3 linked regions of the Cricetulus griseus genome follow. The protein of the gene in region 3 interacts with the protein of the main gene of each other region in a pairwise test. Links are inferred from orthologs where the notes say so. Each region holds a gene or a part of one and is shown on either strand. Other genes may lie near its edges.

Region 1 (10,047 bases), on a different chromosome or scaffold from region 3:
CTTGACCATAGCCGCCTACTATGGGCGGGATTCCCTTCCTGTTTGGGGAGAGGTGCTTGCTCACTCCCATATAGCCCTTGGCAGTCTTTCCAAATGCACTTTTGACATGGAGCCAGGCCCACCGCCTCAGAGGTCAGAGGGGCTCTGTGACCCAGCTGCTGTAACTCAAGGGTGGGCCTCATCAGGAGGCTGTCTCAGTGTCAAGGAACATTTCCATGTCTCAAGGGAACAGCCTTCCTCACAGAAGTCACCTGTACTCTGTGAACGTGGGCCCAGGCTTGCTAGATCTTGCCCACTTTTCAAAAGAACCCCAGAATCCAGTTTTTGTACTGGCATAATTTATAAATGCTGACATCAGATCTGAGTTTGCCACACTGGGCTACACTTGTCCTGGATTTTCTAGTGTTTGAGGCCTGTGAGGTGGTAGGCGTGTCCCTACTGACCTGACCCTTATCTGCTGGCTGTTGCATAGTAGCTGTGTATATTCTTGGGCAAGAAGACAGATTGTATGTTTTATTGGGATTATGGGAGTAATGACAGGTGCAGGAAATAGAGACTGGAAAATGATAGAATACTAGTGCAGGTCAGGCTGATCAGTGTCAGCAGCCTGAAGTCAGTCAGTTGCGGGTGACATACCAGGTGGGGAGCAGGCTACTTTCCTTCAGGTTGGGGCCTCAGAGGCACTTGAAAGGAACTGGAACCAAGGCTGTGGCACCTGCCAGGGCCCTTTCAGTGTGGATCCCTCTGTTATGCTTCTTCCCATAGTCATGGTTTGGTGGAAGCCATGAAGTTGACCTCTAACCCTGAGTGGCCTCCTTTGCAGTAACTCCAGGATGGAGTGTCTTGGTGAACCTGAGTTCTCACACTGCAGTCTTGAGCATCAGCACTGACTGCAGGCTGATCAGGAACCTTGTTTCCCTGTTCCTCTGGAAATATGCAAACAGCAGTTATAGACTTTATCTCTGTGGAAACAAGGCGGAACATGTCATGACCAAGTTAAATGTGTTTTATTGGCCAATTAATCATTGTGGTCAAACATTTGCCCAAGGCTATAAGAAGGCAAAAAGTAGATCCTAAGATATAGGAAGGGCAGAATTGTGTTCACAGAGCACCTGGCAGCCAGCTGTGGCAGGAGGAGAGCCAGAGAAAGGGTGCCCTTAGGCAAATGTCCAAGGTGGTGAGCCTCGGTGTCAACGTGGTAGGTCTGGGGCTCTTTCCCCTAGAGAAGGCTTCAACACTGGCTGTGACAGTAGCTCAGGGGGACCACTGAGGCCTCTGCATCCCTGGGCAGTGTCTTGTCTTGTGCTCCAGGACAGTGCCACATCATGGTGGCCCCTGTGGGTGGGCAGACCTGGGGATGACATTGCTTGTCAGTCATGCTGCTCTGGTGGTCACATTGGGCTGGCCCACCCTTGGATTAAGTGGTGGCAAGAGCCTTCCTAAGCTTCTCACTCCTACTGCGGTCAATTTCCTCCATTTCCTGTAGTTTCTGCAAAGGGCCATCAGGAAGAACTGCTGTCAGGGCAGGCCACCGTGGTGGGAGCTTGCCACCTGAGAGGGCTAGCCATAGTTCTGGCTGGAGCTCCTCTTCCCCACTTGTGTGGGCTCTCTTACCTGGGAGATTTCAGCCAGTATCATTCCTCTGTATTGCTTGCCCTGTCCAAGAGCCTCCATGGCAGCCAAGAATTCTTTCCTGTCCTGGATTTCCTTCACCACTGCACAGAGGGGAAGGGTTATCAGTGCATAGGGCAGTGGGCATACACAGGGGCCCAGGCAGTGCATGGTCTCTAAGGGAGAGTGGGGGAGGGTCTGTATCAAGTCAGCCTCATCAATTCTACACTCCACATGCACACACAGACACGCACACACACAGACGCTCGCGCGCACACACACACACGCACACACGCACACATGCACACACGCATGCGTGCGCATGCGCACGCTCACATTCTTCAAACCGGTCCAGCTCGGGAGCTGGGTCCTCTTGCAGCCCATGAGGAGCCCTTTTCCGTTCCTCTATGTCCTTCCCATTGGCAAAGATGTTTTGAAGTCTTCGTTTCTCCTTCTCCAGATCTCCTGTAGGGCCCAGAAATGGTCTTGTTAAGGTGCAGAGCAGCTGTTTCCCTTGTCTGTGCACACTGCAGGGTGTCTGGGTTGAGAAGAGTGGGCTGCTGCAGACCCAGCCCCTCCCCTGGCTGTTCCTGAGCAGAACATGTCAGGTTAGCAGTTGAATATCTCAGTGCAGAGCTAAGAGAGAACCCAGAAACACAGGCCTCTGAGGTGTCCTGTGGGGGGGGGACTGTAGGGATGTTGGGGGGTTCTGGGTCAGAAGCACTGTTAGAGGCCACAGGAGGGGCTCCCAGATGTGGGCTCCAGTGCAGAGGAAATGGACTTGAGGGGCTGGGAAGATAAGCAGTTGACAGCCATGTGTCTTTCTGGGATTAGGAAAGCTGCATTAATTTGAAAACAGCCATAGGAAGATAAAGAGGGTCACCTGCCTGCGTTTGTTACCCACTACTGGAATGGTGCTGTCTGTCCCAGGCTGCTATGACCCCAGAAGACAGAAGGGAGCACCTAGCCTAAGCTGGTCACATACTGGTGGCCTGAGGCTTGAATTGTTCGCGGCTGTATGCCCCATTGGCTTGACACATGCTCGCAGGCCGGAGGTGGGAGTGGGTAGCCAGGATGGGAGGCAGGTAGGTGGCTGTAGCCGGCTTCTTGGAAGGAGAACCCCTGTGGCTGGATGTTGGGTCGCACTGCAGGGGCAGAGGGGCTCCTCCTGGGAATAGAAGGGCCAAGTGACAGCACCTGTTTGTCTTTCTTTTCAAAGAAAAATGGTGGCTTCCAGTTAGAAGTCAAAGCGTGGACAGTCTGGACCTCTCAGCCTGCTCCTGGGCAGGCTGTAGGAACAATTAGGTGGTTGCTCCTCGTTCTTGATGCTTCTAACACACATCCAAGGATGTTTTGTTTGGTATGTTACACATATGGTTCTTAAACACTGGATCATACCATATGGTCAACAACAGACCCTTTTCACTTACAATTTATCATGACCAACTTTCCATAAAGATGCATTTATATGTAACTTATTTTTTTATAGCAATGTATTAGTTGTTAGAGTGACCACACTATTTATTCAGCCAGTCATTCAGGTTCTCTCAGTTTTTTTTTTTTGGGGGGGTGGATTTTTACTACTTCTGACAATGCTGCAATAAACATTCTTATACATTGAGTCTTTGGCGTGGTGTTTTTATTTTGTTTTTTTAGCATGCGAGCACGAGAGAGAGAGAGAGAGAGAGGAGAGAGAGAGAGAGAGAGAGAGAGAGAGAGAGAGAGAGAAAGAGAGAAAGAGAGAGAGAGGGTGAGGGGACAACTTACAGGAATCAGTTCTCTCTGACCATCTGTGTTCTAGGGACTAAACTCAGATTGTTACACTTGGCAGCAAGCACCTTTCCCTGCTTAGCCATCTCACCAGCCCTGTGTTTTGGTTTATGCTTTTTTTAGAGGCAGGGTCTCTATCCAACCCCCTATAGAACTAAAGATGACTCTAAACTTTTGGTCTTCCTGCCTCTACCTTCCATGTGCATGGGTTGTAGGTATGTGTCACTACACGTAGTTGATGTGGTTGGTGCTGGGTATGAAATCCAGGATTTGGTGCATCTAAGACAAGGGCTCTACCAACTAAGCCAAAAACACAGCCCAGGTTTTTTGTTTTTTTTTTTTCTTCGTTTTTTGTTTTTTGTTTTTTTGAGACAGGGTTTCTCTGTGTAGCCCTGCTGTCCTGGAACTCACTCTGTAGACCAGGCTGGCCTCAAACTCAGAGATCCGCCTGTTTCTGCCTCCTGAATGCCGGGACTAGAGATGTACATTATCAAGTCTGACTTTGAAATAAATTCATCTCTGTCCTTTTAAATAAATTCCCCTTCCCTTTCATACAGAGGAGCATTAAAAATATATCCTTGGATGCCAGGCGTTGGTGGCGCACACCTTTAGTCCCAGCACTTGGGAGGCAGAGGCAGGCAGATCTCTGTGAGTTCAAGACCAGCCTGGTCTACAGAGCTACTTCCAGGACAACCTCCAAAGCCACAGAGAAACCCTGTCTCAAAAAAACAAAAAAACGAGGCCAGTGTGGCCTCCAGAGCGAGTGCCAGGATAGGCTCCATGTATCCTTGGTTCCTCTGCCCAGGAAGTCTCTTGAGTGACCTTACTTTTCACGGTGTCCATGATGTGTCGTTGCTGAAAGTTAGTCAGTCTGGACTCCTTCATCATCACTGTAAAATAAAGCACTCTGTGTCTCAGCATGTCTCACCCTGCCTGAACCCCACACTGTAGCTCTGCCTCCCCAACTCTCAACTAAGCACTCATGCTCTTCTGCTTGTTTCATTTTCTCACTTGACACTATTTATAGCAGAGGTCTTCCTGAGCTATACCCCAGCTCTATAATTTTTTATATAAATAGGTGAATAAATAAATAGAAAAGGAACAATCCCTACCCCCCCCAAAAAAAAAAACACCTATACTGTTAGCTATATGAGAGCAAGAATGTTTTTTGTTTGTTGCAATCCCCTTAACATTCTACTTCCAGTACTTAGGATAATATCCAAATCACATATTAGGTTTTTTAGTTGTTGAATAAATTAATGTATTAATGTTCATTTACATATCAGAGGCTGAAGCCACAATTGTGAGCAGGAACAGGCACTTTGTCTGGTGTCATTCATCATTTAGAAGGTGATATCTGGGGGGTGCTGAAGAGGTGACTCAGTGGTTAAGAGCACTGGCTGGTGGGATTAAAGGTGTGCTCCACTACACCGGGATTCATTCCCTCTCTTCAGTATGGAGATTAAAGGTTTATGCTACCACGCCTAACTAAAGTCTGTTGCTACTTACAATATTTGGAGTTGAAAATAGAAAAATAACTATGTATAAATTAATTAAACTTATTTATTTTTTAAAGAGCACTGGCTGGCCACGAAGTGGTGGTGAACCGCCTTTAATCCCATCACTCTAGGCAAAGGCAGGCGGATGGATCTCTGTGAGTTCGAGGCCAGCCTGGTCTACAGAGTGAGTTCCAGGACAAAGCTACACAGAGAAAGCCTGTTTCAGGGAAAAGGCATTGGTTGGCTGTTTTACAGAGGACCTGGGTTCATTTCCCAGCAGTCTCTAACTCCAGTTCCAAGGAAGCTGGCACCCTCACAAAGACATACTTGCAGGCAGAACATCAATGCACATAAAAATAATAAATCTTTAAAAAAAAGGTGATAGATGGGAAACTAAACGCCTATAAGAACAATATATTGTGCTAAGCCCAGTGAAAGGAATTGGATCTGATACTGTGTGAGAGGGTCTTACTGTGTGTGGTAGGGAGGAGATAAACTTCATTGAAAGTGCAATGTAAAGATGAGCTAACCACTCCTAAAGTTGCCGTCCTTTGAGCCTTTCAGAATCCCAGTCTCCTATCGTTGTTCCTCTAAAGCACTGACCTCTGAGCAGCTCGCAGGTTCCCGGCGTGTAAGCGAGTTGCTTACCGCAGCGCTGGAACCCGGTTCCATTGCTCACTGCGTCCACCCTCTCCTGTGAAGCCATGGGAGGGCCCTAGGAGGGAGAGAAGCAATAACCAGCCCTCCTCGTGTCGCAGTCCCAACCTCTCATCCCCAGCGCCCTGGGCGTCTGAGAAGCGGGTGCCCGAACCCTCGGCTCCGGACAGCGCAGTCACCACAGTCCCCATCGAGATGGTCCCGGGCGGAGCGCTTACCCTAACCGTGACGGCGCCCTCCTCCAAGAGATCCCGGGGGACGCCAGAGTGTTAGTGCTCGCACCAAGCGCATCTGGTTACTATGGTAACTAGCGTATACACCCCACGCACACGCATTAGCGACTCGCCTTTGGCTGCCTCCCGGAAGTGATTGCCTTTGGGTCACGGCGCAGGCGCAGACCACGCGTAGTGCTGCCGGGGAACGCTGAGGCGCGCGTCGCTCTTCTGCCTTCCGGACCGGCCAGTGCGGGCAAGGAAGGCATCATGTCAGACAACGAGGACAAGTGAGCGCGGGCTCGGAGGGGAGGAGGTCGTGGTGCGAGCGGGGCGCTTGGAGCACAGGCTAGCCCAGATATTAGGTCTGTTGGGCGAAGTCTTCTAAACTTCCTACCTCGCGGAGCAACGCGGAGCAGCATGCACAGTTAAGCCCGTGTAGCCCGTGCCCTCCGGGCACCCCCTTTCTGGAAGGGAACGCGGGTAGTGTAGTTCGTTTAGTCGTGGAACTAGGAAGGAGGAAGCAATCCAGAGGATGGCCTGGAAGGCTGGGAGCAGGCGCTGGTTTAGTGTTGCTTGGGGCAGGGTCCCACTCTGAAACCCAAACTGGTCGGGAATTCACTATGTAGCTAATGCTAGCTTTGAATGTGCCACAGACCCAGCTGAATTTTGGACATATATTTTATTTATTTGGAGACTAAATCTCACTGTATACCAGGTGGTTCGAGTTTAGAGATACAGCCCGGTGGTGGTGGCGCACGCCTTTAATCCCAGCACTTGGGAGGCAGAGGCAGGAGGATCTCAGTGAGTTCGAGGCCAGTTTGGTATACAAAGCGAGTTGCAGGACAGCCAGGACTGTTACATAGAGAAACCCTGTCTCTAGGGGATAAAAAGAATTTAGAGGTCGTCTACTTCTGTCTTCCAAATGGTAGGATTAAAGTGTGAACCATTGTGTGTGGCCCCTGGTACCCACACACACACACACACACAAAATCCTACATGTATATGAGAGAAAGAGATGGTATACACATATATCTGGAACACTGCGATTTACAGGTATATGCTACCATGGGCAGCTCCTAGATATATTTTATTTATTTATTTATTTTGAGACAAAGGTTCTGTACATAGCCCTAGCTGTACTGGAAGTCACTGTGTAGACCAGGTTGTCCTCAAACTCACAGAGATCTGCCTGCCTTTTTCTTATAGCACTGGGATTATGCCTGGCTCCTGATATATTTTTAAAATAGAGCCAAAAGGATTTCCAGATGGGCTGTATGTGTTAGGTCATAAGAGAAGATAAACTGTGGGAGTCCTAAAATAGATATAGTAGCCAAAACTCGGAAGCTGGGTGTGGTGGGCTCACACCTGTAATCCTTGCTTTGGGGAAGCTAAGGCAGGAGGATTGCCATGATCTTGATGTCAGTCTGTGCTACTTATCAAGTTTCAGGGCAGCCTGAGTTACATAGTGTACAGAGTGAGACTCTGTCTCAGAAACAAGCAAAAATACAATGAAAGCAAAGCAAAGATGGGAGTGTTGACCAGGGTGGTGAGTGATTGGGGGAGTGGGGGGGTACCCAGAAAAGGCTGAGGAGGAGTCCCACACCCCAAGTGTGAAGCAGGAGGGAAGAGCCAGGTGTGCTAGCTGTTAGAGGAAGGTGAATGAGAGTGGGAAGGATTAGCAACAAAACGATCATTAGTGAAGTGGTGTACTTTGGAGGCAGAGGCAGGAGGATCTCTGTGAGTTCAGTCTGGTCTACAGAGCGAGTTCCAGGACAGCTAAGACTACACAGAGAAACCCTCTCTCAATCAACATCCCCACCCCCCAAAAAAAGATGATCAGTCTTTTTTTTTTTTTTTTTTTTTTTGGTTTTTCGAGACAGGGTTTCTCTGTGGCTTTGGAGGCTGTCCTGGAACTAGCTCTTGTAGACCAGGCTGGTCTTGAACTCACAGAGATCTGCCTGCCTCTGCCTCCCGAGTGCTGGGACTAAAGGCGTGTGCCACCACTGCCCGGGCGTGGTGGAAGTCTTACTGAGGTGAGATTATGGCCGAGGAAAGAGAAGACTTGCAGACAGTGAGTTTGGGCAGCTCCTTCACAGATTTTGTACCATAGGAGGCTGATGAGATTGATCCACATTTGAAGGTGCTTACTGTACAAGCCTGACAACCCAGGCTTGATCCCTGGAACCCGGAGGTAGAAGGAGAGAATGGGAAAGGTTGTCCCGGTGGTATGTGTGGGCCTTCGTGCAAACACATATCATGCACACATTAACCATAACTAAAAATAATTTAGAAGCCTGGTAACCAGAGACCATGAGAATGACAATGTCACATGGGCCTTATTTTTTTTTTACCCTCCCTCCCCCCATTATAAGGGAACAAACATGGAATTAGGCTGTAGCTGGAGGAAAGAGAATAATGTGGTTTTCTCAGAGGTGGGTGGGGTAATGGTGGTGACGCTTTGCTCCTGGGAATTAATGCCCAGGGATTTCATGCTTGTTGTATATACCTCCGGCCATGAAGTAAATTTTGTTTGTTCTTGTTCTTGAGACAGAATCTCATTATGTAGCCCAGGCTGGGCTTAAATTCCTGAGTCTTCCACTCCCAGTGTCCAAATGCTAGGAGTACAGGAGTGTGCCATCACACTCACAGATTTACGGCTTTCCCCTCATGATAGGGCTAAAACTATGTTGGTGACTGGAGGGGTGGCTTAGTAATTACCAGCACGTGCTGCTTTTCCTGGGAGTGAGAGTTCAGTGCCCATCACCATGTTGAACAGTTCCAGCCACGGGACTTGATGCCTCCTTTCTGGCTTCCATAGGCGTACATTCACACACACAAACATAAATAAACCTTAAAACATAAATCCCCAGACCAGAAAAGTACATGTGCTGACTGAAGTAGTTCACAGAGAGAAACATCGATGACAAGTCCTAGTAAAATTTGGGGGCAGATGGGACAAGATTGAAGGTGTAAAGTGAAGCCAGAGTTTGATTCCCTCATCAAGATTTGCTGGTCCCTCCTACATCACAGCAGAGACCCCAAACTGTGTCCCTGATTCTGGCAGGTGATTCTAACCACCAGTGTCTTCTGGCTTAGTTTCGACGGCGATGACTTTGATGATGTGGAAGAGGACGAAGGACTAGATGACTTGGAAAATGCAGAGGAGGTTAGTAGCCATCCTCAGCTTCCTGCACTGCAACCTGGAAGCTAGACAGTGAGATGGTGATGTTTGCCAAAGGTTTCATCATTCCCTTTCCAGGGATGTGTCTCCTGCAGGTACACTTCGCCTTTGCCTAAGTGTCACCTCAACTAGGTCTTAAGAGTGTTGTGTCTTATTTATTTATTTTTTCTTTTCTTTTCATTTGTTTTTTTTTTTGTTTTTGTTTTTCGAGACAGGGTTTCCCTGCATAGTTTTGGAGCCTGTCCTAGAACTAGCTCTTGTGTCTTGAACTCACAGAGATCCAACTGCCTCTGGCATCCAAGCACTGGGATTAAAGGTGTGTGCCGCCACCGCCTGGCTTGTTGAGTCTTGTTATGTATGTTTTTTAAGACTTGTTCTTAGTGTATAGCCCAGGAACTCAGTATTTAAACCAGGCTGGCCTCTAGCTTACAGAAATCAGCCTTCCTTTGCTGCCTGAGTGCTGGAATTAAAGGCATGGGTTCTGGTAGAAATAGCTTTGATCTCTTTATTCACTACTCTATCCTAAAAACTTAAAATACCATTGGACAGTTTTTATTTAAAAAAAAATATATATATTTTGTGTGTACCGGGCAGTGGTGGCATACACCTTTAATCCCAGCAGCACTCAGAAGGCAGGGGCAAGCAGATCTCTGTGAGTTCAAGGACAGCTCAGGCTACACAGAGAAACCCTGTCTCAAATAAACAAAGAGAAATTTTGTGCATATGGACATGTGTGTCTGTGTGCTGTGTAGTGCATACGGAGGGGCAGAGGTTGCTGTTAGATGTCAGCCCCTGTCGTTCTCTGAACTTGGGTTCACTGTTTCAGCTAGGCTGTCGGTCAGCAAGCCCCAGAAATCTTTCTGTCGCTACCTCCTAGTTCTGTGGTTATAGGCACACACTGTTATCTACCCAGACTGTAAGGAGACTGAGGACCTAAATTTAGGCCCTTTATTCTTGGTTTCAGAATCCTGTAAACTCTGGGCATAGGCTGTGCACATTCCTGGCAGCAGTTGTTGCTCTGTGCCTGTTTTCTCTAGGTCGTGACCCTACTATCAGAACCCAGGGCCTTATGTGTCCTCAGTCACAGCCTGAACAGATGAGTAATGTGTAGCAG
Region 2 (9,947 bases), on a different chromosome or scaffold from region 3:
TCCTAAAGAAGGAAGTTAATTACCAAGTCAGCCCAGCTAATACTCTGTGAGCAACAGTCTCAGCCACTTGTATGCTTTTTGTTAAAGTGCCTTTGACTAGATTATAGCTGTAGAATCACTGAGACATGGACATGGGTGGCACTGATAAGAGCAATAGTCACACAGTTTTAAAAGGGGAGAAGTGAGCACAATGATAATCCAAAGACCTTGTCTACAGCTTCCCTGCCATTGTGGGATTGCTTTTCAGGAACTTTTCGTTTCTCAGTTGGCAGATGGCAAGATGAGGCTTGATCCCAGGGGGTGAAACAATAGACTTTAGTACAGTGGTACTCAACCGTGGGTCACAGCCATTAGGGAAACACACATTTCCTATGCTCTTAGGAACTGAGAGACTGCTCTGTAGCAAAATTACAGTTATGAGATAGCAGTGAAAAGAACTTTATGGTTGGGTCACCACAACATGGGGAACTGTATTAAGAGGTCACAGCACTAGAGGGTTGAGAACCACTGCTTTGGGGCTTTAGAACACAGCCAAGAGCAACACAGATAGAACTTGAGAATTTTAATTGATGGCGCTCTTCTCTATAATAAGAATTTAAGTGCTGACGCTTAAAAATAGTGACAGAAATTATTAGTAACAATGTTTCCTTAGCTAGGAAACTAAGAAATAAAAATGATACTTTGCCCCTAGAGGGCTGGACAAGGGCCTCATCAGTGAGAGCATGGGTGCTCCTGCAGGAAGCCTGGATTTGGGTCCCAGTACCCATGTGGCCGCTACAACGACCTGTAACTCCAGTTCTGGGGATTGGATGCCTCTTCTGATCTCAGTGGCCACTAGGTGTGCATGCTGTGGACTCTTCCATACATGCAGTCAAAATACTCAGACAATAGCACATGAGATTTCCAGGATTCCTAAGATGGGGCTGTTACTACAAGGTCCAGGAGAACATGATTCATGATAACCCTTGGGATTAGTCTCTTGGACAATTAAAAGCTGTTTAAAAATAACTGAAAAGAAAAAAAAAGCAATCTGAAAATGATGCAGAACAGGGAAAACAGGCAAAAGGAAACAGCTAACTCAGAAACACCAGGGTGCCACAAGAAGCCAGTCCTGGAGGGCATAGTGCAGGTGTGGCTTGCCCAGAGCTGGGCATTTCCAGGCCCACAGTCGGTGCTGGTAAAATTACATATCAAGTGCAGCCTGAAAATGGATGGGTGGCTTTCTATACACCTTCTCCAAAGCTAATATATGGCCCACAGGTCTGAATTTATGTGCAGCCATGATGATACAGGCTTGTTATCAGACATAGCATATAGTAAACATTAATATATGTTTAATATATAATATATAATATATATAATATATAATATATATTACATATAATATATATTATATAATATACTATATATATAGTATTATATATAATAATACTATATTAATATAATAGTAACTATAATATATAACATTAACATAGTAGTCACCTCTTGTTAAACTGGAACTCTTACTACGCAGTGGGTAGTTGATTATTTCTAAGAATGAGTACCTTTTTATTAAAGCTTCTGAATTATGTAAAAGTCAAAAATGCACAAAGAAGAGAATAAACTTCCACACACTTGTCTCTCAGCGCCAGCAGTTCTGCAGCACAGCTCTTTCATCTCCGCACACCTGTAGGACCACTTTAGCATCCATCCCACACATCATTCGGCTTCATCTGCACAACTCAGAAGCGGCCCATTTTCTGTTTTCTTTTATTTGTTTGTTTGTTTGTTTGTTTGTTTGTTTTTTCTGATATAGGGTCTTATTGTGTAACCCCAGCTGACCACAAAGTCATAGGATTCTCCTGCTTCACCCTCTCACCACCACACCCAATTTAAAACATAAGAATTTAAGACAAAATTTAACACAGTACCATTTCTCATATAATATATTAACAACTCTTTTATATAGTTCTAATTTCTCCTCTGTTGCATAAACAGAGCAGCACTAATGACTATAATTTGATATGGTTGGCCAAGTTTCTTCAATAAATAATTAAAAATGAAAAGGAGGAAAGTGGGGCCATTGCTAGATTTAAAGTAGTTTAGTAGACATACCAGCCAAATGCAATAAATGTAAGAAGAATGGTTGGTTTTGTCCATTGGATATAAGGTTTGCAGCTAACCTGAAATATATATGCTTATGTGATGGCCAATCTGGTCTGTTCGATAGCAGATGAAAACCCCTTTTGTTGGACATGGTGGCATTCCTCATAGGCAAAGACAGACAGGAAGCTGATACTGAGAAAGCTGGAGAGAGCAAATGATTCTGGAAAATGGGGTGTGCTAAGTACAGTATCCCTGAGGTGCACTGCAGGGTGTGAGGCCCAAAGGCAAGTGGGGTAGAGATGTTGGAAAGCCTAGCTGTGAAACACAGAGCACCAGGAGAGCCCTGCGCAGGGATGGGGTGGCCCCAGACAACTCTGAGGCCTAGGGTTTCTGAGGTCTAACATGAAGCTCTTTGCATATCTGGAATGCAGCCTCACACAGTGCTCTCGAGAGTGTGCCGTGAAATCTTTCAGGGGCTTTGCATGCATGCTGGTGTGTAGAGTGAGGAGGATAGCTATCCATGGCATACCCTGACAGATCACAGAAAGGGAGCAGGTACTGTGTGCAGGCTGGCCAGTTTTTGGAAGCTGGAATCAGAGCCAGGGAATAATGGGGAGATTGTTCCGGAGCCTTGATGGGGAGCAATCCAGTCAATTGATCTAAATGGGAGCAGTTATGGCTAAAAGTCAGGCAAGCATGGTTATAAAAGACCCTGATGTAGCTGCACGATCTGGAAGATGCTATCTGTTGTCTACGTAAAGTTTACCTATGCCGATGCATTGAAGTGTGGAAGCAGACCCTGTATCCAGTTCTACAAATCCTTTGCATGAAGTTAAGTGAAAAACTGAAACTAAACGTATACTGAGAGAGGAGACTTGCTCTCAGATTTCTGACTATTATTCTTGGGATAGAATTCCTTTTTCTTTAACATTTTATTCTTTTTTGTAAATCTTAATTAACTGAATACACCATAATTTAATAACCAGAAAAAAGAATCCAAAAGCGGGTGACTTTAGAATACAGGGTAGAATTTATCCTGCAATCTTGAGTCAGTGGGGAAAAGTGTATGTCACAAAGATGTTGGTCCAATTTTTTTGGTTCATAAAAGTATTCTTACATTTGAAGAAAGCAGGCTTCTCGTCACATTTTAGTCTTTGCTACTGGGGGGACCACAGAGGTTTGTGAAGAATCTGTGTGTGTGTGACTGCAGACTGAGAAGCAGCAGGTCTAAGCATGTCACTCTTCCTCTGAGCATCAGGCTCTCTCTGGTGGCACTTCCTGTCATCTCTGTACTCAGCAGGCTGAGACAGGGAGTCTGCAATCAGTCTGAAATGCCTGGGCTATATAGGGGTATCAAACCAACAAAGGCTACAAGACCCTGCTTCAACAAGCCAGAGAGACTAAATGTTCTATCTTGGTGGTCTCCAGCAACATTAATGGCAGAATTAGGCTGCAGGTAGTGAGAGCCTAGATTACCCTGGGCAGAGCTATAGGAATGATGAACTAGGGCTAAATCCCGGGATGGCCCAGATTCCAAGAAACACAGACAATGCTGCATAAGATAAAAACAAACAAATCTGTGTAGCTCAGATTTCCAAAACTCGATCCTGGAGCAGTGTTCAAAGTCGTCTTTAAACATCATACAGCTCGTAATTACCAGAAGTGGTGAACCTTGGCTTCCATGCAAGAACCCATATCGTCTGCAAACTAACAAGGGGGAGGAGACGAACCAATGGCCTGGGGACGAGCCCCTGACCACTTACTCACCTGGATCTGGAGCACGGCCAGGTTGGCATCAAGGGCCCTCTTGGTGGGCAGTAATTTCTGTGTCACACAAATTTGCCTTTGCTTCTCGGCAATCTTCAGTCTCAGGAACCGGAGTTTTTCTTCCAGGACACGGATCTCAACATCTCCATTAAGTTTCAACTTCTCTTGGATATTTATTTTTTCAAAAAAAATGCACACTTCCTCCTCTCGTTCTATGAGCTGAACGCCACTGTGGTCAAATTCAGAGCAGGGGTCTAAGTGGGTGCTGAGGCCTCTGTTTCCTCGTTACTGTGGTTCCCTCTGGCTTTGGGCTCACTTATACATCAACACAGCAGAATTTCAGAAGACAGGGCGCCATAGACTGCCAGTTAAGTGGCCCACACCAGATTTTCCTGGGGTTAAGAGAGTGTTGGAATCTCCATTCCAAGGCCAGCTGGGCAGCAGGACAGCCACAGTGGCTTGATAAGCCCCCAAAGTTTCCCTAGGGTAGTGGAAGTCACTCCCAACATGTGAAAGAGGAAAATCCAAGGGTTGTTTTCTGCACATCTTTTTTGGGGGACCAGACTTGCCAAGCAAGGCCTAGGCAGAAGCCCCAGGAGATGGGCCTGGGAATGTGGCTCTGCAGTGAGTTGCCAGGCTCGTAAGGACATTTGAAAAGTGGATGTCCCGTCACCTGCCCTTTGTAGCCTGGCTGACGGGTGCAATGGGAATACCTCTCCTCGACAGGAGGCCACTGGAGAGAAACAAAGTGAGATTTTTCCCCTCATCAACACTGGTCTAACCAGGGACTGGGAACACTCTATTTATCCATAAGCTTAGGCTTGTGCCAGGAGCTACATAGGATTTTTTTGTTTTGTTTTCTGTTTTTGTTTTAGCCCAGAAAGAACACTCATTAGCCCTTTGAAAAAGTTCTGTTTGTCAATGACCCTAAAGATCCTCCCGCTCAATCTGTATATCTGTTACCACAACTGCTACCCTTAATTTTTCTAAGTCTTTCCTTCCCTCCAAGAGTGTGCATGCAGTTGTGTCTGGTGGCCCTCAGGTCTCCATCCGCTTCATTGGTTTTTCTGTTGAAGCTGCTCATTATCGCATCCATCCCCTTGATGACAAATGCCAACAGCAAGGTGTTACTATCCTGTACCCTCAGGGGCTAGCACTCCAGTGCTTTACAAGAAATACCACACCAATTTCATGAAATCTGAATTCTTTCTAGACTCTGCCATCTCAGCTACCAATGTCTCATAACTCAAGCAGCTGCTGTGGGTGGGGCTGTTAAGAGAGTAACACTGTTAAAGACATGCTTGATGTCTGGAAGAAACAGGCCACTCTTCTAAGCCTTACTTCCTTACGGAGGAAAACGAACTAGGAGACTGGGTTGACAAGGCCCTTACGACGTGGATAGATGTTCTAGAGACTGGCTCACATCAGGTGATTCGGAGTAATTCATTGCCATCCAAGAGCAGTGGTTCTCGACCCATGAGTCATGACCCCTTTGGAAGTCGCATATCAGATATCCTGAGCATCAAATATCAGATTCTTGCATTGTGACTCATAACAGTAGCAAAATTACAGTTATGAAGTAGCCACACATGACGTTTTGGTTGGGAGCCAGCTCAGCATGAGGAACCGTGCTAAAGGGTGGTGGTGTTGGGAAGGCTGAGAACTGCTGTCCTAGTATCCCAGAGACTCTGATCTTTCAATGTCCCAAACCCTCCTTTTAGTTTCCCTCCCACAGACGGCCTGTCTTGTTTTCATGCACAACATCTGTTGTCTGTACCTTTCACCTGAGGAGGGCACTGAGCCTGTACCTTTCACAGCCTGAGCCGTCTGTGGTCCATACCTTTCGTTGCGCCGCTGGACGGCCTTCTCATACTTCTTGCGCAGCAGCACCATCTCCTCCTCGATCAAGGTGATCATGCTGGCCAGCCTGTCCATGCTGTTCAGCTGGGCCTCCTTCTTCTCCTTCATTTCCTGGAGTTTAGAGGTGATTTTGCACACGTCATTCTGCATGCTCTCCTTGATGGTCACATTGTTGGAATGCTTCAGCATGGAGTTTTGCAGCTTTCTTTTAAAATAAGGCACAGTGGGGAAGAGCATTATTTTCTTCAAAAAACACTAAAGATGTCTGAAAAACAATTTCTAAAAGTGTGTCTTCTGAAATGACAATCACCACACCATGCTTTCAGAACTTCATGTCGACTCCTCTGTGGTGGAATCCTCCCTCCAGCCAGATGAGGATACTGTCGTTGTGTCAACCACTGTGTCGTGGTCTTTTGTGAAAGGGTCCTTTACTGCTCTCTCATCTCAGGAGACTGTTCTGAGGATAGTGGTGCGTCTATTGACAATGCCTTTCGGGTCTCAGGCTAGGAGCATGGGTCAGGCTGGATGAAATCACAGCCTGGATGTGGTATTTTAATTTCCTTTCAGGTAAGTATCTGACCAGGAAATTTCTATTTCCAGCAAGGCTTTTCAAATCAGTGTATTTTGTATTATCGTTCTCAAAGTCAACTGGGCAGTAATGGCCAACAGAAAAATCCATTTATGTATTCTCAGGCAGTCAGGAACTAATGAGGTGAATGAGTCCAGTAGATCTTGACATGCAATAAATGTTCTTTCTGGTATTATGACATAGGTGGACTCATTTAGTAACAAAAGGTCCTACACGATTATAACGAGGATTATGTGTTAGGAAAGACATCAGACAAGTCTGAAGAGTGGCCCCACAGATAGTAACCAGAGCTGTGAGTTTAGTCTAGAAAGTGTTGCTCTTAGCAATTCTGCTCTAGCCAACCCACCTGTACAATATATGCTTTAAATCTACAACCAGGGACACTACCTAAAAAAGTCATTTGTCTTCTAACATCAAATGCAGGTTATCAGATTTATACTTTCTTTTTTAATTGAGCAAATGAATACCAGCAGATCGACATAGGAAACAGTATTATGTTAGAGTTTTGCATTTGTTGAAACATGTGACTCTTGCATAGAAAACAAGAAGTGTGCCTAGGTGCCTGTGTTGTTACTCGAGAAGCAACGTGTGTGACCAGGCTTTCCCATCTTCTGTGAGCACCAGGACCTTCTGGAGTGACAGAGACACAGAAGACAAGGCTTTGGGAGGACTCTGGCTGTCATGGCTCTTACCTTTCTTGAGAGATAGCACTGTTTCTTAAAATTTCCAGTTCATTTAGTGACATTTTGTGCCTTTCCCTGATTTCATTCACTTTCTGGTGAGCTTTGTGCAGGAGGTTAATAAACTTGTTCCTTTCATTTCTGATTGTGTCATACAGTTTGGCAAATTCTTTCAGTCTGTGGAAACACGGTTTTGAAAACTGAAAACTAAACACCTTCTCCCCAATCAAGTAGAGAAGTCATGACCAAATTCTCTTACCTCCGGTGAATTTCACGCTTTTTCTTCTTGTACAGTCTGATTTCAAGGTCCTTTGCTTTGATTTCCTTCATGACATTGGAATGTTTTTGCTGCAAGGTAAAAATTATGTGTGAAATAAAGAGAAACAACCAGAAAGCTGAGTGTGGTGGTTCATGTCTGCAATTCCAATGCTTGGGAAACTGAGGCCGTAGGACTGCAAGGAATTCAGGATCAGCCTGTGATACATAGTAAGACCATACCTCAAAAACCCCAAATCAACAGCAGCAACAACAACAAAGCTACAATGTAAGAGTACTCCTGCCAAACTCCACTCCCATCTATTAATCCTTCCTAGCCTGCTGGGCTGGAACGATGAGGGGGACAGGTGAGAGTTGAGAGCCTCCTGGCCAGCTGAAGTGATTACCATCAACCAGGAGAGTGTTACTTAAGACTCAGGAAGAACTAGAGAGGGTAAAGGAGCCTCACAGACAAGGGTGGGAACCGGGGTCACTACTGAGAGAAGAGTGACTATAGCCTGCACCTCCCAGCCAGGTGAGCATGGTGTTTACAGAGGTTGACGAGGAGTACTTATAGGAAGTTTTGACAAATGTCGTGACCTGAACCCTCTATGGCGTTTGTGAGACTGAAGCAATGGCTTTAAGGTGCAGTCCCATCTTTTTGTGTTTGGTGGATGTATTTTCCTTTATAACAGGCACCATGTTGAGACTGTTTATAAATAGATATACTAAATGGAAATGTTAAAATATATGTAATATAAATATATTAAAAAGAAAACAGTTATGCCTTTAAAAATCCTAAAATATAATATATCAAGTGCTGGATGTATCAGTGATGCTATGTAGATAGAAAATGCCTGGTGGGACCTGTCTCTGGGATAGGAAGCATTGGGGGACAGTCTCTGCTGGTAGCATTTGGGGGAGGGCAGTTTCAGTCACCCTCTATTGGGGCAGGCAGAACAAAATCATTTGGCCTGGTGGTGCCAAGGCAGAATGGATACACATTGAATTTACTTCGTATAACTTTCAGTGAAAATGGGAGTCAACAAGCTAACCTTTAGGTGACTGTCCATGAAAAGAATAAAGCAGGTGTAAGATGTAGCATAAACTATGCTGTCTTGTGTGTGACAGCAACATCACCATGAATCCCTTTCCCAGACACCTTATATATATTCTTAAAAAGAGATGTAGATATTACATAAATTAAGAAGATTGAACTGCAACCAATGTTTCAAAGAGTAATTCCCAAAACTGAAACACTCGAGGGACAAACAATATTTTCCCTTATGGTTTCCACATCTCAAAAAGAACTGTCTTATGCTTTATTATGAATAAGCTCATTTAGCAACCGTTTAGCTTATGTAGATTATTGTGTTTATAACATAAGGATAGATACAGGTAACAAAAAGATCAGATTTTGGGATCCATTAGAATTTGTCTACCTTGTAAAACAGACCAGCTCTTTTCTTGGAATAACAAATTACACCTCTAGTATACCTAAAATTTCTAAAAGAGAGGAAGTTTTCTAAGTAGGAATCTCACAGAAGCAGACTCTTCCAACCACAGAGGAGGCTTCTGACAACACTGTACTGTTAACGCCACCCCAGACCCCGACTTTGGTGGTGATGACCTTCTCAAACTTAATCTGCCCCCCTTGTAGTCATCCTTGTCTCTTCAGATTCACCCCTAGCTCATCTGTGTTCTATGAGTCCAGTGATGCCAGGGCTCCAACTCCTAAGAGGCTGTGCTCTTCCTTATCTTTTTTTTCTAAGAGCCCAGTGATCCCTGGGCTACTATTCCTGAGAGGCAATGCCATTCCCTCATCTGTTTTCAACAAACCCCATGGGCTCCGATGAACTTTGCAATAGAAATAAAATGGTTCAAGGTGGGTTGAGTGAACCTTGCCATCTACTCTTGCCTCTCTCTGCTTCATCTGACATCCCTTCTCCTCTCCCTTGCCAGTTATGTCTGGCTTCTTACTTCTCAGGTCTGTGTGGTTACAGCTGTCTCCTCCTGTCTTTGCTAGGGAATCTAATTTCATACCAGTGTCCATCAATGCTGTTTAAATGTGTGTTCCTTCTGAGGGATGAGAAGACAATATCTCACCCCCATGTTAGCACTCAGAATGAGAACAAAGATTACGCTTACAAATGGCCAAGCCAGGTCACACGACAAATGCCTAAGTTCTATTTTAGTAATAGTTTATATCATAGTCTTTAAACATTTATTATCATTAATTTTTTGAGACACAGTATCACTATGTCATGCAGGCTAAACTTTAACTTACTGTACCCCTGTGTCTACCTCTTCTAGATTGCATGTCATAATGCACACTTTTATTGTTTGTTTGGCAAGATATCAAAGCTCTCACAAGCAGGCGCTCTAGCTTTGAACCGTTTCCCCAGCCTTTATTTACTCTTAACAAAGAATCAGACACAGCCCTTCTGTGGACTGACTGATTCCAACGTCAAACGTAACCCTATTGCAGGAGCATTTTATTTTCCAATGTTGTTCGTGGCCCTTTGTAGGAGCCTGGGGAAATCAATCACTGAGGGCATCCTGCACTGCTCATCTAATGACTTTACACAAGCTCTGCTCTGAAGTTGTCCCAAGGCAAGTCACCATGCAACCTCTGACTCTGCAGATCTTCTAACTCTGTGGCTTATGTACCTGGCAGCCTTGGGCACTAAAGATGTTTATTTCATCCTTGT
Region 3 (9,947 bases):
AAACAAATAATGGAAAGGCTATGACTTGATCTTGATATGTTTGTATGTCAGGTTGATAAGAGGTCAATTGTGCTAGCTAGTTTCATGTCAACTTTACAAAAGCTAGAGTTATCTGAATGAAGGGAACCACAACTAAGAAAATACCCTCATAAGATTTGGCTATAGGTCATTCTAATTAGTGATTCATTGAGGGGGGTGCTCAGCCCATTGTGGGTGGTGCCATCCTTGAGCTCACTGTACTGGATTCTGTAAGAAAGCAGGTTGAGCAAGCCATGATGAACACACCAGAAAGCAGCATCCCTCCATGGCCTCTGCATCAGCTCTTGCCTCCAGGATCCTGTCCTGTGTGTTTCTGTGCTGACTTCCTTCACTGATGGACTACAGTGTGGAAGTGTAAGCCAAATAAGCCCTTTTCTTCCTAACCTTCTTTTGGTCATGGTGTTTCCTTACAGTAATAGAAACCTTAACTAATACCCCCTTTGAAGCTGTAAGCAAGCCCTCTTCTGTAAGTTCTCTTGGCCTTGTCTCTTCACAGCAGTAGAACAGTAACTAAGACAGAGCTCAATACCAAAATCTTTTGAGGCATAGAGTAACCTGAATAACATTCAGAAGGACTTAACGGTGCAAATAACAGCACCAAGAGGGACTTTGTAGTCATCTCTATGTATATAAAAATCAGTATTTTTGGGGCTGGAGAGATGGCTCAAAGGTTAAGAGCAATGACTGCTCTTCCAGGGGTCCTGAGTTCAATTCCCAGCAACCACATGGTGGCTGACAACCATCCATTATGAGATCTGGTGCCCTCTTCTGGTGTGCAAATATACATGGAAGCAGAATTGTTCCATGTTGTTGTATACATAATAAATAAAAATCTTAAAATAAAAATCAGTATTTTCATTTTACATGCACTTCTGAGCAGACTCAAACCTTTAGGGTCATAAACTTAAATAAAAACAACATTCTACTCTTAACAGATTGCATTTCTGGTAGAACAAAACTTCGGAATGGATCAGAAACTGCATCTGGGTGACCAGGAGTATTGGTAGAAGAAACCCAAGGTAGTAAAGAGCCACAGAGAGAGACCAGAGAAAGGACTACAAGAATGCAGAAACAAGCCTAGGATTTTTTTTTTCTGTGAAGCCTATTGATGAGTGAAGAGCTGAACCCCACCAGGAAAACACCCTCAGGGTCTCTGAACCCACAGGGTCCCACTGCTGGAAATCCAAATCAGAGGTTGAACTCAGACTGAAGGAAAAATTTAACTACAGCAAGCCAGACATATACTATGATTACAGGGGTGTGAAGCCAGATTTATTTCCACATCTCCCTTCGCTGCCATGGCCCAAAAGCTTGGAAGAGGCTCAACACATGCTGCCTGAACCTACCAGCAGAGAACAGCACCACAATCCATGACACAGCTCTAGGGAAGGGGTAAGGGACCCTAAATTTGAGAAAGCTACAACACTCATCATCCTCTGCCCCCTCCTATTATCACATAAAGCTAGGGACCCATTGGACCCTTAGGAAATGCGTATGGCAGAGCCTGGTTCATGATGCAGCATCTAGATTTGAACAACACACCCCAAACAACATGGGCTATGGAGACAGCTGAGGGAAGGGACAGCCTTTGCAACCAGAACCCTCAAGGAAGGCACAGAGATGTACCAGGATCTGAGACTCCACCCATAAAGAACAGACTGAGCCAGTATCTGTAATTTAGTTATTCAAAGTAACACTGGGAGAGAACAAGAGTATAATGGAGGAACTCCAGGGGTGAGGCAGACTTCTTGTAACTGAGGAAAGAACATTGAGAGATGAGACTGAGTCTGGTTATCAGGTCGGGCAGTTTTCACAGCTGATATCCCCAACCAGATCTCTCTCCTCCCTGCATCTATTCCTCCCATGTTTAATACCTAATGTCAATTTAGCATGCCAACTTGCTCCTATTCTGTTATTGCCCTGGGTTACTTTTTCGTCCTCCTTACTGTTTCCTTTTTTATTTTCCTCTCCCAAAGAGCAGATTGAATTGATTTGCCAATACTAATCTTAGTCTTAGCCTTTTTCTTCTCTTTTCCACTCACACCCAAGTAACTAACTGTGGTGGTTTGAATGAAAATGGCCCCAAAGGCTCATAGGAAGTGGCACTATTAGGAGGTGTGGCCTTGTTGGAGGAAGTGCTTCAGAAGGGAATAGACTTTGAGTTCTCAAATGCTCAAGCCAGGTTTAGTGTAACATCTAGTGTAACATTCACTTCCTCTGGCCTGTGGATCCAGATGTAGAACTCTCAGCTATCTCTCCCACACAAATTAAGTGCTTTCCTTTATAAGAGTTGCCTTGGGCCAGGTGATGGTGGTGCATGCCTTCAATCCCAGCACTCCAGAGACAGATGGATCTCTGTGTGAGTTCAAGGGCAGCCTGGTCTACAGAGCAAGTTCCAGGACAGGCAGAGCTATTACACAGAGAAACCCTGTATCAATGGTGTCTCTTTACAGCAACAGAAGCCCTAAGACACTAACATATTTAGCTTTTGTAGTACTAACCCCTGAGCAATCTCTCCAGCCTGTTTCTTTTCTTTTCTTATTCTTTTTTAGACTAAGTCTCTCTGTAGATTTCTGGCTGTCCGAGAACATACAACACATACACGGCTGGCATCTAATTCAGAGATCTACCTGTCTCTGCCTCCCAAGTGTCAAGATTAAAGGTGTATGCCAACATGCCTGGGTGACAATAAAAGATTTTAAATGACACTTTGAAAGATACATTAAAAGACACATAGATTAGCATTTTATTGAGATCATCAAAATCTTAATAAAACAATATACTTTATTGTAAAATAGAGAATAGGACAACTTCCTTAAGAATCTCCAAGAAACAGCTCAGAGCACAAACTTATGCAAATTTCTTTTGTGTCTAGCACAGAAGCATATCATATTCATATGATTTACAGATAGCTGCCAATATGTCTTAGGCTACAATTTTGATAACAATCTCTTGTGAAATATAGACAAGAGCTTCCTTTCTATCCAGCAAGCACCCTATCATAGCTCTACTTCTAAAGCGGACACTGGAAAAAAATTAATAAATAAATAAAAGCAGACACTGGAGCTTGGCTGTGAGAGTGAGAGGAAGAGAAAGGAGTAAGAATGGCCTGGAAGCTCATGAGTTGGCTGCATGCTGAGTGAGTTCCTTAACTCTGTTCATGCAACGATCAATGGCATTAATGAGTAAAGGAATCCAGCTATCTTCTGGCTGGGGGGTCACATGACTTGCTCTGGAAATAAAAGAAGAAAAAAAAATTATTAATGTGAAGGGAAAAGCTATACCAGGAGGCATAGAGAGGAAACTACAGTAATAAGACATTCCTCTTCACAGACTGGCTGCTCCACACCCTACCCACAGCCATGGCTCCCCTACCCAACTCTCTGAAATGGGGTCAGTTCTTGAGAACAGTTGGGCAGACGATTTTATTCTCACGTGTAGGGAGAAGTCTTCAGACTTACTTTGTAATTTCAAGCGCCTTTATTAAAACAGACACCAATTTCGCAGACTAGGAAAAAAAAAGAGAGATGTCACTCACCCTGAACCCTGGCACCAAAAGAAATAGAGCTTGAAGATCCATGTAATGATAAGAGAATCATTTAAAAAGAGCTTTAAAGGGGTGGGAGAAGTGGCTCAGTGTTGTGCAGTCATGAAGACCTGAGTCTCAACTCCCAATACCCATGTTAAAAAAGGGAAGGAAGGCAGGGAGGTGGTGGAGATGCCTTTAATCCCAGCACTTTGGAGGCAGAGGCAGGCGGATCTCTGTGAGTTCGAGGCCAGCCTGGTCTCCAGAGCGTGTGCCAGGATAGGCTCCAAAGCTACACAGAGAAACCCTGTCTGGAGGGGGTGGGGGGAGGAGCTCTATAGCTTATAGGAAATCCTAGAGACTAATATAATTTTACCAATTCAAAGCTAGTACTTACATTGATCCGCACAGTGAGGTGACACACAGGTGGATATATGCTCAGAACCAAAACATCCACACTAAGAGCAGAAGAAAAATATAACCATTAACAAAAAGGGGGCACAGATCTGTGACTGTTTCCAGTATACACCCAACCCAGTTCCTTAATTTGAGTAAGCAGGTATGCTATGCAGAAGCAATTCAGCCTATGTTCACAGAAACAAACACATTCTATTTAAGAAGGTGGGGTAAAAATGACCATGGTTCACAGGATAAGGAATGATTAGCTGAGTCAAAGACAAGAGAATTTGAAACCATCAGTATAGTAAGTGACACTGCCAGGGTTCATGAATGGAAGCTAAGCAGGTTAGATAAAGGTACCCTTCTAAAGAGGCCACTACTTTAACCATGTGACCAAATTTATTACCACAAGAAAAACTAACATCAAGTTATTTTCTATGAGAAAATAATCTTGGGGGGGGGGGGCTGGAGAGATGGCTCAGAGGTTCTTCTAAAGGTCCTGAGTTCAATTCCCAGCAACCACATGGTGTCTCACAACCATCCGTTGTGAGATCTGGTGCCCTCTTCTGGTGTGCAGATATACATGGAAGCAGAATGTTGTATACATAATAAATAAATAAAATCTTAAAAAATAATAATAATCTTATGAATCCAAATTGCTGTGTATTTACAATATGTAATTCTGAAATGCCAATGTCAAGTCCGGACTAGAAATGACGGAGACTATTGTAAATTGCAAGTAACTAAACAGATGCCAACCAAATGCAGTAAGAGACCTTAATGATACCCAGAATTTATGTAAGACATTTTTGAGACAAAGAAATCTAAGTATTAGATATTATTATTACATCAAATGTTAAATTTCTTGAATGTGACTCCAAGAATATCTGTTTTTAGGAGATTACTAATATTTAAGGGTAAAAAGTTATTTATGTCCTAAATGAAAAAAACATATCACATCTATTTATCAAGAAATAAATATACAGAGGAAATAGGTGATTAGGAGAATCCAAATAAAGGATGTAGAGCTATTTACTGAAGTGCTTTTTCAATTTCTTTTAGGCTTGAAAATTTTCAAAATATAAAAAGCTGAAGGAAACCTGCAGCGGCAGCAGCTCGAATCACAATGTTCCTGTTTGTAAGTGTGACATGCTTACCTGGGGCTGATCTCATCAGAAATATCCACAATGTCATCCAGCTGGGATACCTGATCCTTCTTCCCATTCTCAGCCACTAAGGTCCGGATTTTCCTGAGGCAAGCTCTGGATGCTCTCACCAATGCAAGGCACGGGTTTATGAGCTCTTGATCTTCCTCTGACCAGTATGAGTCCCGATTACTTGGAAGCCCTAATACATCATCCTCATCATTATGGCTGTCAGAGTTGTCCTCAGAACCATTCAAGAGTCCACAGTAAGGATCACATTCTTCTATAGCCTAAGATATAGCATCATATATGTAAATGCAAACACTCCACCACCATCATTAGTCACCTGCTTTGCTACTTACTACAAAACTCAACCAATTTACAAACCACATTCTCCTTCTTCTTGTCCGGAGAGGAACGGAGAAGTGGTACTAAGATACAAGACAGAAGACAGTGGGAGATGGAAGACAGGACAGGAGTAAGACTGGGATCATTCAATCAAGTTGCAGGGACTCCCTGTCTTCATGATCAGTTCTCATCGACTGGTCATGAAGTTGCTTTCCAATGACCAGGAAAGATAGGAAAGTGCCTTCACCTGCTCCATTTCTTCATGTGCATCTTTCACAAAATTCACACACTTTGTCAGCATCAAAAGGGCTGCAGCCTTGTTATCTGTGAGTGAAAAACCAGAAACACTAGAATTAGAAAAGAAATCTATCTCTCTCTGAAGACTGCAAAGCACAACCAACACTGCTTTAAAGTAAAACTTTTCTACTACACTCTCTGCCTGGACACAGGATTAGAAGGCCTTTTAATTTCACCACCAGAAAAAATAAAACTGTCTCATGGTGTTTGTTATCACATTACTCTTAGTCATCTGCCTGGCTCTGCTTTATAACCCTTTTAGCGTGCTCTCTGATGCTACTCCTGGGACAGCAACAGGAAAGCAAACTCTATCTGTTCAACGAGAAACAGAGCCACAGCAAGAAGCGTCTGAACTTAAAGAGCAGCACTCAGCAGTAGGACGCTTGGATGGCATGCCTTGGGCTCAATCCCCAGCACTGCCAGAACCAAACCAAACCAAACCAAAAACCAGTATGAAGAATGGCAAAAAGTACCAAAGTCAATATATTGATGATAATAAACTATGTATTATTTCACTTAAAATCTTTATAGAAATTAGTTATGTAAGGCAAAGCTGGAAGCTGGATATGAGAGGCCTTTTTGCTTCAGCCAGCTTACTTCTACCCACCTTTTGGAATCTCAGACACCTTTTGGCATGCTACCGAGACACTATTGCAGGAAATAAGGTCACAGTTCTCAGTGCTGGAAAAAGGAATTAATAAGGACACATCAATAACCACAGTCTCCTAAAATTGTCTGCCATGAGGGATAATATATAACTTGACTGTTAGGGTCAATTTTTCCTCCCTGAGTCAAGGAAGCCAATTAACTGCCATCCCACACTGAGGCACTGATACCTCTGAGATGGAGAGATAAGCACTTCCAGGAGCTGAGCCATGCCATCCACAACGTCCAAAGTAGCATTCCGCACCAGCTTTCTCAGGGTGATCCCTGTAGCCAAACCCAAACAGTAAGTAGCCTGGTCGTTTCTCATGTCACAACTTGTTTTCTGGATTCTTAAGTGTTACAGAATATGAGGTAACAGATACATACATACTTTACAGCACATACCAGTGCAAGACTCAAGTCTTAAATTCTTTTTTGGGGGGCAGCAGGGGTTGGTTTGTTTGTTTTTCGAGGCAGGGTTTCTCTGTGTAGCTTTGGAGTCTGTCCTGGAACTAGATCTTGTAGACCAGGCTGGCCTCGAACTCACAGAGATCCACCAGCCTCTGCCTCCCAAGTGCTGGGATTAAAGGCGTGCGCCATCAATGCCCGGCTCCTCCTGCCATTCTTTAGAGTTCTTCTCCAACAGTTTTATTCTTTCCATGTGTGTTCATTCATTAAGGACACTGGTCCTTTGATAATTGTGGACAAAACACTGTAAGTTTAAAGCATTTGTAAGTAACCCAGATGAACTATTACATGTTTTCATTTATTTTCTCATCATAACTTCAATAAAGGTAGAAATCTACAGGCTAGGCTAGTGGGCACTTAACTTGTGAAGAGTCTACAAACAGAGTATGATGCAATGCAGGGTGGAGGAGGACAGGGATGGCCTTGGCATGGGTATGGAGCTGGGATTTAGCAAGCATGTATAAGAAAGAAAAGTGAATTAGGGGCTGAGAAGACAGCCTATTTGATAAAGCGTCAGTCACACAAACATGACAGCTTGAGTTTAATTCCCAGAACCTACATGAGAAAGGCAGACAAAATGGAGTGTTCCTATAATGCCAGTGCTGGTGAAGCAGAGATAGGAGGCTTCCTGGGCAATCAGTGAACTCCAAGGAAGACTCTCTCAAAACACAAGGCACTGATTCTACACGTACTCACATGCACATCTGTGAGCACCTGAATACACACATGCACCTATGTGTGTGCACACACACACACACACACAGACACAAATAATGGAATGTTTTTTATAAAGACATGCTTCAGCACTTAAGAGTACTGGCTGCTCTTCCAGAGGACCCAGGATCAATTCCCAAATCCACATGGCAGATCACATTGTCTGTAATTCCAGTTCCAGGGGAAGCGATACCCTCTTCTGACCTCAGCAGGGACCAGACATGCATGTGGTGCATAGACACACATGCAGGCTAAACACCCATACCCATCACATAAACAATAACTTTTAAAAATAACCAGTGGAGATGGCTCAGCAGGCAAAAGAACTTGCTGCACAAGTGTGATGATCTGAGTTTAACACCAGGAACCCACAATGGAATGAGAGACCCTTTTACATACCCACATCACCCACACCCACACCTTTTAAAGAATCAGGTAAAGTAGTAACAATAGGAAACCACAGGTGCACAGCATCTGTACTTTAGCATAACAGACTGCTATGAGATCACTCACATTATAAAATGACCTTTGAGTATATTAGGGGAAAAAGTCACATGCTCAAAACTGAAGACAATAGACATGTATAATATGTTTATAAATAAATATATAATAATACATTGACGATAAGCATATATAATAATGTGATGGGGAATGTCCTTCTGTATGCTGTGAATATATGTTTCTCTTATTGGTTAGTGAATAAAGCTGTTTTGGCGAATGGACAGGCAGCAAGTATAGTCAAGGCTACCAGACTAGGAGAATTCTGGAGAGAAGAAAGCAGAGGGTGGCACGGGAGATGCCATGTAGCCATCAGGAAGGTAAGTTGCCCAGGCATTCTCTGGTAAGCCAAAACTACATGGAGATAGATTAATAGAAATGGGTTAGTAATTAAGAGAGAGATAACCAATAAGAAGCCTGAGCCATCAGCCAAACAGTTTATAATTAATGTAAGTCTCTGTGTGTTTATTTGGTACTAAACAACTGCAGTACTGGGTGGGACAGAAACTTCCGTCCACAATGTTTACGATGGGCTTTGGTGGCGCATGCCTTTAGTCCCAGCACTCGGAAGCAGAGGAAGGTGGATCTCTGTGAGTTCCAGACCAGCCTGGTCTACAAGAGCTAGTTCTAGGACAGCCTCCAAAGCCACAGAGAAACCCTGTCTCGAAAAACAAACAAACTAGCAAACAAACAAAAAGATAAATAATGTTTACATATAGCAAAGATCTAGCCTATAAAATGCAACACTACTGTGTATACACAGTGACTTACCCTGATTTTTAGGAAGTGAATAATATACTTCAATAATTTCCTTGATGCCAACATGAATTTGCTCACAGATCCTCTGGGTTTCCTATGAGGTGATGGACAAATTCAGAATGAACAGAGCAAATGTTCAATATCAATGCTGTCAGCCTATTTACTGAAGAAGAGATCAAATACCTATAAAACATGAACAAATATTTTCTGAAAGCCTATGGAGTACTCATCCCACACTAGAAAGAAATTAGGCAGATACCAGACAATTCAAAAAAGCATTACAAAATGAAGGAAAACCTCATTTCTGCTATTTAATATCTTAAGCAATCATGTTGTGCCATGAGATAATCACTGCACTTAGACCAGTAGGAAGCAAATTATAGCCCAGAGGCTCCCCCTAGGCTCACTGGTGGGTTTTATATATGGAGTGTTACTAGGACACAGTCATGCTCATTAATTTACAAGCATCTAACAGTTGTACTTGTATTACAAGGGAAGAGTTAAGCAGTTGTCCTACAAAGCCTAAAATATTCAGCACCTGGTCTTTTGTTGAATACAGCCCAACTACTGAATCAGGCAATTACTACGTCTTTGCTTGCTGTCATACAATTTATCTTTTTTTCTTACTGCCAAATTGCTCAAGACTGTGGTTCTTCTTAATGCTGTGACCCTTTAATACAGTTTCTTATGTTGTGGTAGCCCCAACCATAAAAATATTTTCATTGCTAATGTTATGAATTATAATGTAAATATTTGATATGCTAGATATCTGCTATTATGACGCCTGTTGTCTCACCGTAACAAAAGGGTCGTGACCCACAATTTGAAAACCATTGTTTTAAGATACACAGGGGACAGGCAGTAGTGGCACACACCTTTAATCCCAGTACCAGCACTCAGGAGGCAGAGGCAGAGGCAGAGGCAGAGGCAGATGGATCTCTGAGATCTAGACCAGTCCGGTCTATACAGCTAGTTCCAGGATGGCCAGAGCTACACAAAGAAACCCTATCTCAAAAAACCAAAAAGAGCCAGGCGTCGGTGGCTCATGCCTTTAATCCCAGCACTAGGGAGGCAGAGGCAGGTGGATCTCTGTGAGTTCGAGGCCAGCC

Evidence for each region.
Region 1: the proteins of Ccndbp1 (region 3) and C2H22orf23 interact in binary tests that used the Homo sapiens proteins (3 or more experiments, as listed by UniProt). The two-hybrid records come from large-scale screens. The link is inferred for Cricetulus griseus from reciprocal best matches to the Homo sapiens genes CCNDBP1 and C22orf23.
Region 2: the proteins of Ccndbp1 (region 3) and Ccdc146 interact in binary tests that used the Homo sapiens proteins (3 or more experiments, as listed by UniProt). The two-hybrid records come from large-scale screens. The link is inferred for Cricetulus griseus from reciprocal best matches to the Homo sapiens genes CCNDBP1 and CCDC146.

Annotation. Positions count from the first base shown.
Region 1 is NC_048595.1:376,256,002-376,266,048, forward strand, and holds C2H22orf23 (UPF0193 protein EVG1), read right to left. Parts: upstream 5,899-10,047; 5' UTR 5,756-5,898; intron 5,596-5,755; 5' UTR 5,587-5,595; coding exon 5,484-5,586; intron 4,272-5,483; coding exon 4,209-4,271; intron 2,780-4,208; coding exon 2,597-2,779; intron 2,077-2,596; coding exon 1,948-2,076; intron 1,716-1,947; coding exon 1,615-1,715; intron 1,490-1,614; coding exon 1,418-1,489; 3' UTR 986-1,417; downstream 1-985. Other genes in the region: Polr2f (DNA-directed RNA polymerases I, II, and III subunit RPABC2), read left to right, coding at 6,020-6,039, 8,849-8,918.
Region 2 is NW_023276806.1:173,197,957-173,207,903, reverse strand, and holds part of Ccdc146 (coiled-coil domain-containing protein 146), read right to left. Parts: intron 7,330-9,947; coding exon 7,241-7,329; intron 7,159-7,240; coding exon 6,994-7,158; intron 5,918-6,993; coding exon 5,693-5,917; intron 4,082-5,692; coding exon 3,853-4,081; intron 1-3,852. UniProt on the Homo sapiens protein: Essential for sperm flagellum biogenesis and male fertility.
Region 3 is NC_048599.1:57,420,168-57,430,114, forward strand, and holds the end of Ccndbp1 (cyclin-D1-binding protein 1), read right to left. Parts: intron 8,933-9,947; coding exon 8,851-8,932; intron 6,685-8,850; coding exon 6,591-6,684; intron 6,436-6,590; coding exon 6,362-6,435; intron 5,782-6,361; coding exon 5,705-5,781; intron 5,400-5,704; coding exon 5,122-5,399; intron 4,024-5,121; coding exon 3,963-4,023; intron 3,548-3,962; coding exon 3,501-3,547; intron 3,272-3,500; coding exon 3,157-3,271; 3' UTR 2,758-3,156; downstream 1-2,757. UniProt on the Homo sapiens protein: May negatively regulate cell cycle progression. May act at least in part via inhibition of the cyclin-D1/CDK4 complex, thereby preventing phosphorylation of RB1 and blocking E2F-dependent transcription.